Regions from separate parts of the Mus musculus genome. Here regions 2, 3 and 4 are each reported to be linked to region 1. Evidence: microRNA targets listed by miRTarBase, many of them from high-throughput screens and not tested one by one. Region 1 holds a microRNA gene; each other region holds the end of a gene's coding sequence. Distances are between the middles of the regions.

Evidence for each region. Region 1 holds the annotated microRNA mmu-miR-1927 (GACCUCUGGAUGUUAGGGACUGA, at 2,206-2,228, shown strand). A microRNA usually pairs through its seed, bases 2 to 8, with sites in the 3' UTR of a target mRNA and lowers its output. Matches are read on the target gene's strand: a 7mer-m8 pairs with bases 2 to 8, a 7mer-A1 pairs with bases 2 to 7 and ends in A, and an 8mer does both.
Region 2: miRTarBase lists Serpinf2 as a target of mmu-miR-1927. Seed matches in the 3' UTR shown: 7mer-A1 at 1,038-1,044.
Region 3: the mRNA of Sertad2 is a reported target of mmu-miR-1927. Seed matches in the 3' UTR shown: 7mer-A1 at 635-641.
Region 4: the mRNA of Mettl21e is a reported target of mmu-miR-1927. Seed matches in the 3' UTR shown: 7mer-m8 at 2,652-2,658.

The regions. Positions count from the first base shown.
Region 1 is chr1:160,294,045-160,298,112 of GRCm38, reverse strand. It overlaps Mir1927 (microRNA 1927), which reads left to right and starts at 2,141; the gene lies at 2,141-2,249. The region is part of intron 19 of Rabgap1l (RAB GTPase activating protein 1-like); the gene reads left to right.
Region 2 is chr11:75,429,129-75,433,192 of GRCm38, reverse strand. It overlaps Serpinf2 (serine (or cysteine) peptidase inhibitor, clade F, member 2), which reads left to right. Exons shown (of 10, transcript NM_008878.2): 9 at 1-56; 10 at 378-1,457. The coding sequence ends at 790. Among named protein-coding and RNA genes, the nearest start is that of Gm35391, 6.9 kb to the left of the region's middle.
Region 3 is chr11:20,648,472-20,652,535 of GRCm38, forward strand. Sertad2 (SERTA domain containing 2) reads left to right here. Exons shown (of 2, transcript NM_001038625.1): 2 at 1-4,064. The coding sequence ends at 264. Among named protein-coding and RNA genes, the nearest start is that of Sertad2, 19 kb to the left of the region's middle.
Region 4 is chr1:44,202,904-44,206,967 of GRCm38, forward strand. Mettl21e (methyltransferase like 21E) reads right to left here. Exons shown (of 5, transcript NM_207281.3): 5 at 1,167-3,850. The coding sequence ends at 3,447. Among named protein-coding and RNA genes, the nearest start is that of Mettl21e, 14 kb to the right of the region's middle.

The sequences.
Region 1 (4,068 bases):
TGACCAAATCCTGCTAAGAATAGAGCATCAGCGTAAGAACTGGTGGGGCCATATTTGGTCCATAGTGCACATCCTTATGAAATTCCAGAGGAGTGAGGAATAGACAGTCCTGAAAAGTTAGGAACATGAATAAAGGGCTGCTTGCAGGGGCATGAATGATCTCAAAACAATTATTACCACAAAGTCTCACCCCATTGAGGATGATGACCTCATGGAAATTACGTCATAGAAGCCCTAGACTATCTCCTATTACAATGAACCAATTCTAAATATCCTTTTATAGAAGCGTTTGTTACAGGAATAGTTGACACAATGCACTAATTTTTATTAATCTGTTTCATGTGTTTATACTCCTACTAGGTGAAAACACTCTAAGATTTTTATTGTTCTGCATTGGCCATTGACATTTTTATTTAGTTTGATCATCAACCAAATATTCATTGATCTGTTACAGTGTGCTAACTGCATTATGTTCTTGGCACAGAAGATCTACCTGTGCAAAGCAATTTGTGGTACCTATTGTGAGTCTTACAGTGAGAAACACAAAACAGAAACATGAGCTAGTGATGCTATTTACCAGGCTTCACATGGAGTAGTGTACCAGTAAGGGTCCTGCTCCTGCCATCTGAGATGTGAACAGCTATGGGAAAACTGGGAAAATGTACCTCAAGTGGGGGGAGGGGACCTGGAGAGAGCCCTCTAAATGGTAGGATCAGAGTCAGTGTGGTAAGAAATGAAACTGGGGAGGAAGTTAGAGGTCAGGCTGTGCAGCAGAGCTACATAAACTAGATGAAGTAGTAAGGGTTTATTTCTTGTATGACACATTATGTTTCAAAATCAAATGACTCAGATTTTAGGTGTGGGTAACAGGAATTTAAAATTATGGTTATATTATTAGAGAAGCCAGTATTATGTCAAAAACTCACTGCAAAGCTCAAGCTCAGTATCAAACTGTAGTATTAAAAGTCATTGTGAGGACTGTACACTGCCTTAGAAATGGGCTTCTAAATGAGCAACAGAAATAACACTGTAGCCCTGATGATTGTAAGGTTTACATACTGATTTCTAGCAGGATGAAAATAATATAGAAGCCCTCTTTTAGTTTTTAATTCCTCAATTATTTATTTATTTACTTATTTGGAAAAAGTAAACTATTTGGGCGTGGGAGAGATGGCTCAGTAGCTTAAGAGCACTTCCTATTTTTCCAGAGACCCTGAGTTCAGTTCCTAGCAGCCAGTCCTATAGGGAGGTCCCAACTACTTGAAATTGTAGCTCCAGGGCATCTAACCTTTTCTGGCCTCTGAGGATACCTGCTAACTCAACATACACTCTCACAAACACACTGTAGTAGTTTGAATGAGAATAGCCTCCATAGGCTCAGATAGTTGAATACATAGCCCAGGTTGGTAGACCAGTTTAGGAAGGATTAGGAGATATGGTCTTGTTAGAGGAGGTGTGTGATTGGTATGGGTTTTGAGATTTCAAAAGCCCAAGCCAGTTCCCAGTTAGCTCTCTGCCTCTTGCTTGCTAATAAGGATGAAGCTCTCTCTCGCCTACTGTTCTAGCACCATGCCTATCTGCCTGATAGTCATGGGTTCTAAATCTCTGAAACTACAGGCAAGCCCCTAAAAACTCTTCTACAAGTTGCTTTAGTTATGGTGTCTCTTTATAGCAGTAGAAAAGTAACCAAGACACACATTTACATATATATAAAATATAAGTAAATATTTAAAATAAATTATTTTAAATGATTTTAACTGACAATAAAAATTGCACATATTTGTTGGGTATCATGTAATATTTTGATACATTTAAATGTTGTGGAATGCCTAGATTGATTAATCATATCTATTTCCTTAATAATTTAAGTAGTTTAGTTAATCCTGAACTCTATACAGCAGAATAAAAACTTGAGCTACACATACACACATACACACACACACACACACTGAAAATGTAATAAATTCTAATGGTAATTCAGATTTACCAACATATTACTTTGGGGTTGGGGGTTATAATTACTATCATGACTAAACCTAATTATGGATTCTTCCGTACTATTTCACACTAATCACCATCATTTCAACTATATATTTTGAAAAGATATATTTTGTGTATGTGTATGTGTCCTTGACCGTATGTATGTTTACCATGTGCATGTAGGTTCAGATCCCTAGAAACCAGAGTTGCAAGTGGCTGTGAACTGACCTCTGGATGTTAGGGACTGAACATGCATCCTCTCTCTACAAGAACAGCCAGTGTGCCTAATTGCTGAACCATCTCTCCAGTCTTTAGCTAGATTTGTATTATATCACCTGTTTGAATCCATGTGAAAAGTTAGTAGAGAATTTGTTCTAAATCATGTGTGCTATTTACATAACAGTAGGAAAGTCCTTTTGGTTTGTGCTGTTAGTGTGTACTAGGGATTTTTTTTTTCTAATTGGAGATAGGGTTTTATGTAGTTCTGGATGGCCTTGAATTCATTGTGTGAATTGTGTAGCAGAGGAAGACCTTGAACCCTGATCCTCCTGCCTTTACTTACAGCCAATACTTAGGTTATCTATGTGAAGCACTATGCCAGTTTATAAGGAGCTAGGAAAGAAACCTAGAGCTTTGTGCGTTTTAGATAAGTATCCAACTGCACTGTGGCCCCAGTCCTTGCAATGGAAATCTTGTTAGTGCAATTAGGTTCTAAATTGCTTTTAGAATCATTTTTAAAAGCTTTTTACAATGAGATTATGTGTTTATGATAATTTATCCCTAATAATATTACTGATATTTGTACTAAATGTTTTTGCTACCTATTATATTTATGTTTATAAATATATAAACATTTCACGCCCATTCCTTCTGGAATGTGGATCTTTTTTTGAGATTTTTGTGCACCTATGTCATCGTACTTTGCTCAGACTCCCTCACCCCATTCATTCCCTTTGCTTTTGCATCCTCCTGCGTATCCCCATTTTTGCTCTATTTTTTAAAAATAAATCTAGATTCTGCATAGGGAGGAAAAATATGTCTGTTTTATTACATTTAGCATGATCATATCCAGTTCCATCAGTTTTCCTGTCATTTTTCCTGAAACTTTTCAGTGAATTGGCACCTTTCTTTCTTATCTCTTCCAAAAGTAATTATGAACAGCAGCCTTGCCAATGAAGCTCTAGGAACCAATGCTGTTTTTTCAACAAGGCCCAGTTCTGTAGTCCAGGGATTCTCAGTAGCTGTGGAGTCACAGAGTTCTTTGGCAGTCTGGTTAGGCCTGTGGACCTTGAGCAAGAAAATATTTTTAAATATAGGATGTACATAAGGCTACGTAGTAAACTAATGATATTGGAATACATTGATCAAAGCAAATAGCCAAATTTATGACATTATGACATATGATTCTTTATTAATATATTAATATAGTAGATAGCAAAATGTGTTAGTAAGTCTGATGACTACCTCAATGCCAAAAGTAAAAAATATAAATAGTATTTTGAGATACAAGCACTGCTTCCAGAGTGACTTAAAATATTTGTAGTACTTATTAGTGACCACTTAGAAATAATATAGTATATTCTTACCAATATTTATAACTGAAAGCTGATAAATTCCATTAGAGTTTCAGAGGAATAGATTATTTTTCTATCTTAGCTCACAGATAGTGAATTCTCTCATTTCTATCATCCGAAACAACAGTTTTAGATACCTTTCTTTTCCTGTAACGTTATAACTGGCTAGGAGAAATCTTAATCAAACCTTTTTCGTGTGGTTTCTGTGTGTTTCTTTGGCAGATAACATTTGTGTGTGTGTTTGTGTGTGTTTCATTGTTAATCTCTGTACGAGAGCAAGAGTTGTGTTTAGTTTTATTTCCCATTTTTCTCCATCCCAGCATGGTATGCACTGTACATACCATATATACTCCAGTGAACAATATAGGATACTGGAAACCAATAAAGAATCGTGTAAGAATAGTAATTATTGGTCTACTGTGTATTCATGACAAACATCTGTCAGCATTTATGCACATAAGAAGTAAAGGTTAATTAATTCATTTAGTCGTGCTGAGGATTGAACCCCAGGTGT
Region 2 (4,064 bases), not on the chromosome of region 1:
GCCTAAACTCCATCTGCAACAGCAGCTGGACCTGGTGGCCACCCTCAGCCAACTGGGTAAGGAGCTTGGGGATAGGGTGCCCCTAGGTGGTCTGGGCAGAGTACGGGAGCTGCCAGTGTGCCTGAGCCAGAGGTGGCCCTGCTTCCTGGATGGGAGCATTTGATATGCTCCTCTAGACTTTCTGTCCTGTACCTAGCGCAGATCCTGATTTAAAAAAAAAAAAAAAAAAAAAAAAAGGTTTCTAGAAGTGTTGTCTAGACTGAGGTCTAACAGATTCCAATCAACCGCTGGGTTCAAGTGTTCCCTTTAGCCAGGATGCTAGACAGATCCACATAGCCTTGGGGCAGCACTGACCAGTCATCTGCTGTTCTGGGCAGGCCTGCAGGAATTGTTCCAGGGCCCAGACCTTCGTGGGATCTCTGAGCAGAATCTGGTGGTGTCTAGCGTGCAACATCAGTCTACCATGGAGCTCAGCGAGGCTGGTGTGGAGGCAGCCGCAGCTACCAGCGTAGCCATGAATCGAATGTCCCTCTCCTCCTTCACTGTGAACCGACCCTTCCTCTTCTTCATCATGGAGGACACCATAGGCGTGCCCCTCTTTGTGGGCAGTGTGAGGAACCCTAACCCCAGCGCGCTGCCCCAGCTCCAGGAACAGCGAGATTCCCCTGACAACAGGCTCATAGGCCAGAATGACAAAGCTGACTTCCATGGAGGCAAGACCTTTGGTCCTGACTTGAAACTTGCACCCCGCATGGAGGAAGACTACCCCCAGTTCAGCTCCCCCAAGTGAGGAGGGGCCCTGGGCAGCAGCATCCTGAGTCCCCACCTGGATCAGCCTCTCAGCTCCTGTGACTCTTTCTAACCAGCTTTGTGGGATAGGGTGGGACCGGAAGGACCATCACCAGTGTAGAAGCTGTTCTCTTGCAGCAGGTGGGGTGGGGCCTGGAGGAAGGCAGGCATGGGGAATCTTCATTTCTTCCCAAGGGGCTCAGGGGGTGATCTTTTGTGGGCTGGCACTTGTGGACACAGTTTTGGCTAGAGGTAGGTTAGGCAAGTCCCTAACTTAGGGTCCCTCCACATTTGTAAGCAGAGGCTGGAGAGGCCATCTTTAGACATATTCCAGACACCCTGGGTGGGAAAAGGAGAGACAAGTGTTGGTCTCCCAAGCTTAGACTGGCCTTGGTGTTATACTTCATGGTTGGAGGCTGACCTACCCTACAAGAGTGTCCCTTGCTGAAGACATTCAGGTCCCCAACCTGTGTCCTGTCACCCAAGTCACCCCTCTGGTATTTGGAGATGCCAACACTGCCAGGAGTCTTCCTCCTTCTTCTCTCTCTTGTCCTCCCCTGCCAGGAATCTTGGGGACTGAGGCAAGGAAGGGACCCTTTAGCTCCCAAGACTCTTTTGTAAAGTTTTTGTAGTGATTTTTATGCCACCTGAATAAAGAATGAATGGGCCGGGCTGGTTTGACGTCACAGTTCTGGGCAAATGGATGTGGCTGGGAGGCACCCACGGGGCAGATTGCACTGAGCCCTCTCTGTGCCACGTTTGGTCCCTGGCCACATGCCAGTCCTCTCTAGGTCTACTAGGGCTACCTCCATGCCAGCCTGGCTCAGCTCTCAGCCTTTTCCTCTATGTGTGCCTCGGGCAGCCGGTAACAAGGACAGCTCAGAACTGGCAATTAGGGAGCTAGCGGGTTTCTAATTACACCCTAGTCGCTATGCCAGGAGCAGGCGCCCGCCAGCCGGGGCCAGGCTGACAGCTGGAGGCTGGCAGTGTCTGAGAATTTTGGGGATGTAGTTGGGGATACTTGGCACCGGGCTGGCTACTTCCTGCGAGAGAGTAGAAGCTGGAGGCAGAAGTGGTGTGCTTGTGAATGGTGAGAGCTACCCTCTGGGGTAGGCACATCTCCTTGATGAGATCTCCTGTGTGTCCGTGTGGCAATAGCCCTCTGGAGCCCCAGTGTCCCTGGGCAGTGTCCGGTGGGGAGGATTAGAAGGGTAAGAAGTCCCTGGTGTAGGATCCTGATGCAGCTAAGTGTGTATGTGCGTATAGGGTGGGGGTGGGAGGTGGAGACACTAGGGAAATGTGTGGTATATCAGAGGGTGAGGGTCCCTAATTGAGACACGAACAGTGGAGTCAGGAGCAAGCCTATCCAGCAGGTGACACCAATCAGAGCAGGAGCCAAAGGAGGTGATGGAGAGTACCTCAGAAGTTTCAGGAAGAGAACTGGGGGGCTGCTGGGGAGAGGAGAAGCAAGAGCAGAAGGTCTGGGCTGAGGACATGCGCAGAAGTCCAAGATGAGCAGAGCATGAGGCTGGGGAGGAGGGAGGAAGGAGGAGGGAGGAGGAGGAATCAGTAGCTGAGTACAGGACCTGCAGCTCTAGGACCACACAAAGAGAAAAGAGGTCTGCTATCTACTTTTATTTTGTGTGTATAAGTATTTTATCTGAATGTATGTTTGTGTGTCATACGTGTTCAATGGCTATGGAGACCAGAAGAGGGCGTCAGAGTATCTGAAACTGGGGTTGCAGATTTCTGGTATACCATATGGGTGCTGGGAACCGAACCTGGGTCACTGAGAGAGCAGCAAGTGCTCTTAACTGATGAGCCATCTTTTCTCCACTCACTCACTCACTCACTCTCTCCTCCCTTCCCTTCCTCCCCCTCCCTCCCTCCCTTCCCTCCCTCCCTCCCTCCCTCCGTCCCTCCCTCCCTTCCTTCCTTCCTTCCTTCCTTCCTTCCTTCCTTCCTTCCTTCCTTCCTTCTTTCCTTTTCCTTTTGTTTTTTTGTAGACAGGGTTTCTCTGTGTAACCCTAGCTGTCTTGGACCTCCTTTGTACACCAGGCTGCTCTTGAACTCACAGAGATCCACCTGCCTCTGCCTCCCAAGTGCTAGGATCAAAGACGTGTGCCACCGCTGCCAGGCATTCCCTGACTTTTTTTTTAAAAGATTTTAATTTTAGTTTTAATTATGTCTAAGTATGGCCGGGCGGCGGTGGCACACGCCTTTAATCCCAGCATTTGGGAGGCAGAGGCAGGCGAATTTCTGAGTTCGAGGCCAGCCTGGTCTACAAAGTGAGTTCCAGGACAGCCAGGGCTATACAGAGAAACCCTGTCTCAAAAAACAAAAATAAAAACAAAAACGAAAAAAAAAAAAAAAAAAAAAGAAGGCTGGTTAGTTTGCCTACCCAGGGTGCAGATCAAAGTCATAGAATTTGCGGCTAGACCACAGGGGATAAGAGAACGACAGACTCAAGGATGATGGCATTTGTCCTTTTAATTTCCAAGTTCCTGTGAGAAATGGGTAGGGGTGGTGCCTTTGACCGAGCCAGGAAGCAGAACAATTGTAGGGTGGTTGGGAGATTTGCTCTTTAAACATGTTATAATGGCAATGTCCCTCTGATACAGGACAATCACACGCCCCATTTTGCCTGGGAAAAATTAGAGTTATTTCTGTCACTTGAGCTAATTAGTAGCATCCAGTCTTGCTGTTGGAAGTGTCCCATGAGTTCATTCCTGGGCTACCAAGTGGATGGATCTGGGAGTCATAGCACCGCTGACTCTGGCTTTGAGGTCATCCATTTTGAATGGCAAGGAGTTGACTGAATATTTTGGTAAGGGCTGGAAGTGTATATTTGACAGCACAGAGATGCTTTAAGTCATGGAGCTAGAGACTGGATGGAGCTCCTGCTGAGCATGTGCAAGGCCCTGGGTTTTCTCCACAGTGGGGGCGGGGGGACCCTGAACTAGAAGAGATCCTTTAAGGAGATATTTTGTTCATAGAAAGGAAAAGGGTCCAAGGATCAACAAGCAGAGACAGAGAAGATAGGGTACTTAAGGGTGGGAGAAAATGGCGACAAGAGAGAAGAAGCTCCGAGAAGACAGAGCTCTGCTCTGCTGCCTGCTACTGAGGAGAGTTTCCGTGTGGCAGTCAACACAAGTCACTTGCTGCAGTGGTTTCAGAGGAGATGAGCACAGAAGCAGAGGGGAGGAGGAAGTGGGAGCCGAGACTGTGTAGACATAAGCGCAAACAGCTCTTTACTTCATGGCGGTGAGGGAAGT
Region 3 (4,064 bases), not on the chromosome of region 1:
AATTTTGAAATAACAACGTCCACGGGTTTCCTGACAGACTTGACCCTGGATGACATCTTGTTTGCTGACATTGATACATCCATGTACGATTTTGACCCCTGCACATCTGCATCGGGGACAGCCTCAAAGATGGCCCCTGTGTCAGCTGATGACCTCCTCAAGACCCTGGCTCCTTACAGCAATCAGCCTGTTGCCCCAAGTCAGCCTTTCAAAATGGATCTCACGGAGCTGGACCACATCATGGAGGTGCTTGTTGGCTCCTGAGACCTGGGCCCACGTGACTGCGCCCAGCCAGGCTCTGCACCCTTGCAGCCCCGACAGTTTCTCCGCACTGTGCATGGACCCTTGCTTGCCTTTTTCAGAGAAAAAGAAAATTTTACAAAAGGATCACACTAGTATTTTCTTCAAGCAGAGTTGGAGTGCCTTCATTCGAGTATGCCCACTTGTAACACACTCTTCTGAGTGGGTTCCTCAGAGCCCTGCTGCCCTGGCGTAGGAGAGAAGACATTTGAAGACTGTGTTGCTAATGTTGAAAGGTGAACAGGAACAGTTCAAGTGAAGCACAAGGATTAAGTTGGAAAAGCTGTAAATTGCATGTGCATATTTGTCTATTTTTTCTATAAGTTTTATTGCAAGAGGTAAAAAAAAAAAAGAATATATATCTATATTATTTGGATAATCTCAGTACCTTTTCTGGCGTTTTGCCCTGTGTAAGTTGACTTGGCAATTCAGCCTTTTTAGAGGCATTAACTACTCGTAAGTGTTGCATTTACATGGCTGTTTAGAAAACTGCTGCCCAAATTTATTTTATATTTTTGTACAGATTCTGCAGTTTATGATATTGTTTTTCTAAACACAAATGCTGTTTATACCTATGAAATAGCTATTTTGATAGGATTTGCTCACATAGTTCCTGCAAACATGAGATGTACAAGTTGCACTTGTACTTTTATAGGACTTGTAATGTTTTATATGTGTGTGGTGCAAGAGAGAACTGGATCACGTCAGTCTGCAGTTGATGTCCCCACTGCAAATACACACAGCGCTTTCATAAAGGGCCAGGTGATCTGACACCCAAATTTCACAAGCACCAGCCCCTGGCACGGTCACCCGCCAGCACTGTGACTTCCAAAGCCAGAGCCCTGTCTGCTCATCAAACATGCATTAAGCAGTTGGCGGGGAGATGGCTGTGTTTCTTGGGGTAGGGAGGGCGGAGTTGATGTGGCAGGCTCCTTAGCTCCCTCTTTTGAACAGAGGCTGCATCATCTTATTTAAGAGTGGACTCAGCAGGGTGTGGTGGCACACCCCTGTAATTCCAGCATTTGGGAGGCAGGGGCAGGCAGATTTTTGTGAGTTCCAGTCCAGCCAGAACTATACAGTGAGAAAACCCTGTCTCAAGGTGGGGGTGGGGAGGGAGGGGGAACAGGGGGATAAAAAACAAAACAAAACTGTATTTATGCCAAGTTGCTATTTTAATTGTTTTTATTTTAAATTTTTGAAATGAAAACCCCAGTCTTTGTCTTTTGGCATAGCTTTTATGACGAGACCACAATTTTACACAACAAAATTTTACAACAAGCAACTGACCTTTTGCTGGAGGTGAGCCCCACTTCAGTACTTAGTTCCCCAGAAGGCATCCATCGTGTTGCTGAGCTGCCTCTCCCATGTCCTTTCCCTGGAGCTTTTGTTCCCTCTGTTGCTAAGAGCTGCAAATGGCATCTTTCTGATCAGCACAGTGAGCTAGCTCTGCGCACCTCCGCCAGCCGGGACGCGCTCGCTCGCTCTCCTGACATCTGTGACTAGAGCCGCAGTCCACCGCCTTATGTCATGGTGTCCAATCTGGTTGCTTTCCTTAATTAACTGCTAATTTAACTACACTTTACAAAGCTGTTATTCCCAAATACATAGAGAGGAATTTCTATGCACGTCTCTGGCCTTCCCCTACCCCCATGTGCTAGCCCCTCCAGCGGCTCTTTCTTTAGTGATCCCCCCAACACGTGCACTCATGAGATGCAGTCGTTTGTTTTAGTGTATCAGGCCTGTTGCTGAAACCGCCTTTCTGTTTCATGGCTCGCTCTTGCAGTGTGGTATTTGAGCTGTTGAGTGCAGGTTACAACCTATATGGCTTCTTTAGAAATAACTTTTATATTTATTTAAAAAAACTTAAATTATGGGATTTTGTTTTTGTTTTTGGTTGTCTTTGTTGGTCATTTGTCAATATACAGTCACCAACCAACTCTGCTCACTTCTTGCCATGGATAAAATGGGCCTTTCTGGCCAATTAAAAAGATAAATTTTATAAATGGCACTTTAAAACAAGCCATAAATAGATTTATTTTTATAATGCACATGGCAAGCAAATGCATTTGTGATGAAGGAACTGCTCATCCAAGCAGAAGATTTGTGGATGGTGCGATTAATATCTTTTTACCTTTTCTTCACTGGAATGTGTCTGACAGGCTGACTGTCAGCTCTGGAGCAGCGGGAGGCTGATCCAGCTGTGCTCCTACAGGCACCTCCAGCCTTTCACCAGCCCCTTCACGCGTGTGTCTCCTTTCTTGTAGGGCAGGGACCACACGTAGGGGAGGTTGTCATGCACACTTGCAAGTGTCTCTGTGCCTGTCCATCTTAAGAACTTGTCTGTCTTGTAGAGAGCAGGTCTGCCCGTACTCTGTGTGTTTTAGAACTGGAGGATCCTGTGAACTGGCCACATGCCACACACATCTGCATACATGTGCATATACAGTAGTGTTGATGATTCCCAGCAAAAATGGCACAAAGCAGTTGATTGCCATTGTCAAAAACTGATTTACAGTAACTTAGAACAACTGTACTTTTGTTGGATTAGCAAATCATGTGTTTAAACAATCCCATATGTTGGGCAACAGTTCAAATAAGCACAGAGAAGCATTGCCCAAACTTGGTTCTCAAACTCTAGTGCATTTGTAAGGCTGGGCTTCAAAATCAAAACACCCACCCCCAACACCGGCAGGCAGAGTGCTAATTCCTGAAACATCCATGGGAAGCCAATGGCCCTGTTTTCAGGAAGAGCAAGCCCACCAAGAGTTAAGACTGTCTTTGTGTCCTATTTATACTAAGCCATGTCCCAACAGGGAAGAGTTTGGAACCAGAGTGAGAGCTCCCAGTCCCAGTTTGAGTGGGGGAATGTGCTTCTAGACGCTTCCTGGCAGTAGTGGCTCACCTTCACAAAGACAGTCTTGTGGCATCCGAGCCAGGCAGACAGCCTGGGGTGCCTGGGCCTGACAAGCTTGTTGACAATGACGTGCAATGACGTGACAAGGTGAGAGCAGAATCCTGAGAGACTTAAAGGGATGGTTTTCCCCATAAGTTATTTATTCTTTTTTTTTTTCTGTGTAAATATATTTATTTTATTGTGGCACTCTAATAACATCCTGGTGGTATGGTGCAGAATGTATGGTAGGAATGTATTTCTTGTAGGGATGTAGATCTGTGTGTATTAAAAGGGGGAGCCAAGCCAGCCCCCACCTGTCTCTTCATCAGATACAGTCCACATTCATTTTTAACTCTCATCTCCAATATGGGTCTATTTAAAATATGCAAAAAGGTATGGATGAGGAATGTTTTAATACCTCCAAATTTTTAAAAAAATCAAGCATAAAAGAGTTGATAATTTTTTAAAGTTTTCTTAGTAGCACTTTCTCTTGATGACAGAAGGGCAACACATAGGCACCCACCTTCATACCAAAGGGTGAGAAATGGCCACAGCCTCCTACACCACTCCAGTGTCTTTAGCAATTGAGCTTTCTATCGCCATAGCCCCAACCATCCTGAGGTCAATCAAGGAAAATTTCTTTACGACGTAAGCTCCAAAGAGCCAAAGTATCAACTCACGGATCATTTTTAAAGCCTAAATTTCTTACCACCTTTGCAGTAAACAATGAATTATGAACACTGCAAGGGCAGCCTTCTTAAATGACAGACACAAAGACTGCTTGTGCAGCAATCGCTACTCTACTCTCTGAATTGTCTTAATTGTGAAACCTTGCTCTTACAGATTGAACCTTTTTACATTTCTGAAAATA
Region 4 (4,064 bases), 120 Mb from region 1:
TAGTTCATATTGTTGTTCCTCCTATGGGGCTGCTAACCCCTTCAGCTCCTTGGGTACTTTCTCTAGTGTGGAGAGCCGAGATAACATTTGCCATCACAAGATGGCGCCGGCTTCGGCAGTGCCTTATACCACCTAAACAAAGAACAAACTGTGTGCACATGTGCAGGAGTAATGCGCGCCAAAGTCACAAGCCCACCCCCGGGGCGTGTCTTGAGATCGTGGGTAAGCAACCAGTCAGGCTTGGACACGCCACACCAGGGGGTATTTAAGCAGCGCCTTTCTGAGGCTCTTTGTCTTCTTCATCAATATGCAATAAAGATTGGCTGCAGAAGGATTCTTGTGTCCCGTGCGCTTTCTTGCCGGTGAGGAAACAGCATGGGACACTCTAGTTTCTTCATTGGGGACCCTGTGCTCAGACCAATGGTAGGCTATGAGAATCCACCTCTGTATTTGTCAGGCACTGATGGAGCCTCTCAGGAGACAGCTATAACAGGCTTCTGTCAGTAAGCACTTGTTTGCATCCACAAAAGTGTCTGGGTTTTGTGATTGTATGTGGGATGGATCCCCAGGTGGGGCAGTCTCTGGATGGTCTTTCCTTCAGTCTCTGTTCCACACTTTGTCTCTGTAACTCCTTCCATGGGTATTTTGTTCCCAATTCTAAGAAGTATCGAAGTATCCACACTTTGGTCTTCCTTCTTCTTGAGTTTCATGTGTTTTGTGAATTGTATCTTGGGTATTCTGAGCTTGTGGGCTAAAATCTTCTTATCAGTAAGTGCATATCATGTGTGTTCTTTTGAGATTGGGTTACCTCACTCAGGATGGTATCCTCCAGATCCATCCATTTGCCAATTTGATAAATTCATTGTTTCTTTAAAATTTCTTGATCAGTGCTAAATCTGAAGCTTGATTGTATTTCATAGAAAACAACTGCCTTAGAATCAAAGAAACTGGGAAGACTGAGGCATGGATTGAGAGAATCCCTGCTTTTGGGTTTACCCAATGAAAACAATGTTTATGTTACAGGCTAAGGATGAGTTCAATAGACTAAACAGTCAATTGTAAATGGTTGGCTTTTAAAATACTACACAGTTACACACCATCCAAGTAAATGCCAAATGCAGTCAATGAACCCTTAATGATAGAGTTAATATGACCCCAGAATGAATCAATTCTAAGGTCATTTAATGCACCCTATCCCACCAATAGTACCATATGTTTGTACAGAAAATTCTTTGCTTATATGACTTAGACATCAGGGATCAGACATGGATGCATTTAACCAAAATTATCTCCAAAGCAGGCCATTCAAGGTCTAGCAATGAATGGGTCAGCAGAAACTGCCCTTTGTTATTTTCTTCAATTCTCCATCACAACTGCACAGCCTAATCATCGTACACTCTAACCAATGACCGTATAACGTAACCTATGCTTGTACAACCTAACTAACTATTATGCATCATGTTCTCTCCTAGAACCTGGATTTGGGAACCCTAGCCCATAGAACAGGGCTTCCATGATCTACTTCCTACAGCCTCTCTTCAGACCTCATCAATATCTCTGTCTCCCCCTTTGCCACACTATTTTGATGTTTATTCAAGTAGATAAGCATGCCTTTGCCTGTAGATTCCATCATGGCTGTTCCTCCTTGATAAACACAACTCTCATCCCTTCTAGTGCACCTTCTTCTACCCAAGCCTTCTCTGATGTCTCCTACCATGAGTAGAAAGTCTGGAGATAGTGTTAAGAGAAAGAAATATGTCTTATTTTTTTTAATATGTATTTGTTAATTTTTGCTGAGTATCTATTTCCTTTGGAAGAACTGACCTCAGCTGTTTAAGAGTCTTTGAAAGTTACTTTTTCAGTGCATAAAGGCATTATAAAGGAAGACACTGTGCTCAAACCTGGGCTTGACTGTCCTAAATTTCACTGTGCAGCTGTGTAACCTAGGCTTTTGTTTTTTATCTGTGAAGTGAGAATAATCATGTCACTGTCCTGTGCAGGCTGAACACTACATAAATGTGAGACCAAATATCCATTCAAGCAGATACCTGTTGAGACATGTTCCTAAGAAACTCCATGTACTAAGAGCAGCGTATCTGCATTCCAATTTACAGTATGGGATCCAGGAGATGATTATAGAAGTGTTTGACCATGATGTTGTTCAGCCAAGAGGACAGAGCTAACTTCAGAGGAGCAAGTGTCACCAAGTGCACATGATAGCCTAGCAGAGGACACTGAAGTGTTGCCAACCAACACAATCCAGACAGTAGCATGTTATAAAGGCCTAACTCCTTACTCTTTCCACATTGACTTATCTTGCATTAAACCTAATTCTAATCCAAAGGGCCACATAAAGAAGCCTAAGAGGATGTCAAATATCTAGGTATATCTGTGCTTATCAGAAGAGCCTTAAACCTTAAAACAAGCCATGATTGCTTATTGGAGATTAGGAACTTCAATCTTTTTATGCACTTCCAACCCAAAGTTCTTATAATTATTTCATTTTCTGTAAAACAAAAACACAATAATTTCAGGAATTCTTTTTGTTTTGTTTTATTTATATGTTTTTCTTGACAGGGGTTCTTTGTGTAGCCCTGGCCATTCTGAAACTTGTTTTGTAGGCCATGCTAGCCTCAAATTCACAAAGATCCACCTCTGCCTCTGCCTCTGCCTCTGCCTCTGCCTCTGCCTCTGCCTCTGCCTCTGCCTCTGCCTCTGCCTCTGCCTCCCAAGTTATGAGATTAAAAGCATGCTCCACCAGAGTCCAGTTTCATCTGAGGTATTCTTGGGCTCTGTACATCCACATTTTTTAAATCTATTAGAGGAAAATATCCTTGCTTGAAACCTTAGCTCCACATGTTGGTTTATTCAGTAGTTATGCCAGCGGTCCAAACTGCTAAACAGATATGGCAGCCCACCTCTAAACTTCGACTGTTGGGAACCATAGACATCATATAACTGCCTTTTCAGATTTATTTTCTCTAGAGCCACTTTATTGATTTCTTTTAAGTATAGAAATCATTTAAACCTACATTTAAGAGGATTAACAACTTGGATGGGTGTGGTAGTACACACCTGTAGTACTAACACTTAAGGAGGCTGAGGTAAGATTTCAAGTTCAAGGCCAATCTAAGCTATAATTTTCAAAACGAAATAAAATTAATAACATTCAGTTAGAGATATCATTATTGAAAATTTCCATCTTTGCAATGAGAATAGTGTGGTGTTGCTGAATGTAATTTGAGGGCTGAACAGACAGATTTGAGAACAAATTATCTTTATCCTACACCTACTGTGTGTATGTAAAAACCCTTGCCTCTAATAAGGTAAGTTTAGAGTTACTTTTTACTCTCACAGTAGGGTGTGTGTGTGTGTTCTTTAAGGTAATGATTTACTAAAAACTACCTTGGCACCACACTCATGTCCTCATTCACAGTCACAATGCACTAGGCACTCCTCCGATTTTTCTTCATAGCTTTGTACAACTTAATATTCAGGCTAGGGAAACTAGAAATTTCTTCCAGGTCAAACAGTTCCTTAAATTTATCTACAAATTTATTTTCTTTCTCCAGCCTGAATCTCATAGCCCAGAGTATAATGGTAGTTTCTTTGCAGAGATGGTCAAAGGTCATGAGAAGCTCCTCCAGGAACGGATGGGCATAGACAACATCTGCTGCCAGGATGTAGTCAAAGTTATTGGAAGACCTGGGGAAATTCCTGTCTAATGCTACTCCCCAGGATAGTTCTTTGACCTGAGGCAGATGCTTGCATTTCATTTTGGTGTTTCTGGAAATATTATATTGCAGGTTTCCAAGTAATTCAGGTAAGTCTGTAGCAATCACACGAGCACCTGTGAAAAAGAGGTTCAGATGAAAGGTGATCCTCCTGGAATGTCAGTCAGGTCTCAAACCAACATGCACTCTGAGATTCTTTATAATGGCTAGATCCAAAGAAAAGACTGGGAGCACATACAGAAGGACAATGCTTTTCATAATGGGCTCCAAAAACACTTTTGTGACCCTCTTTTTAAAAGAAGAACAAGGTAGAATCTTGTGGTAATTCTG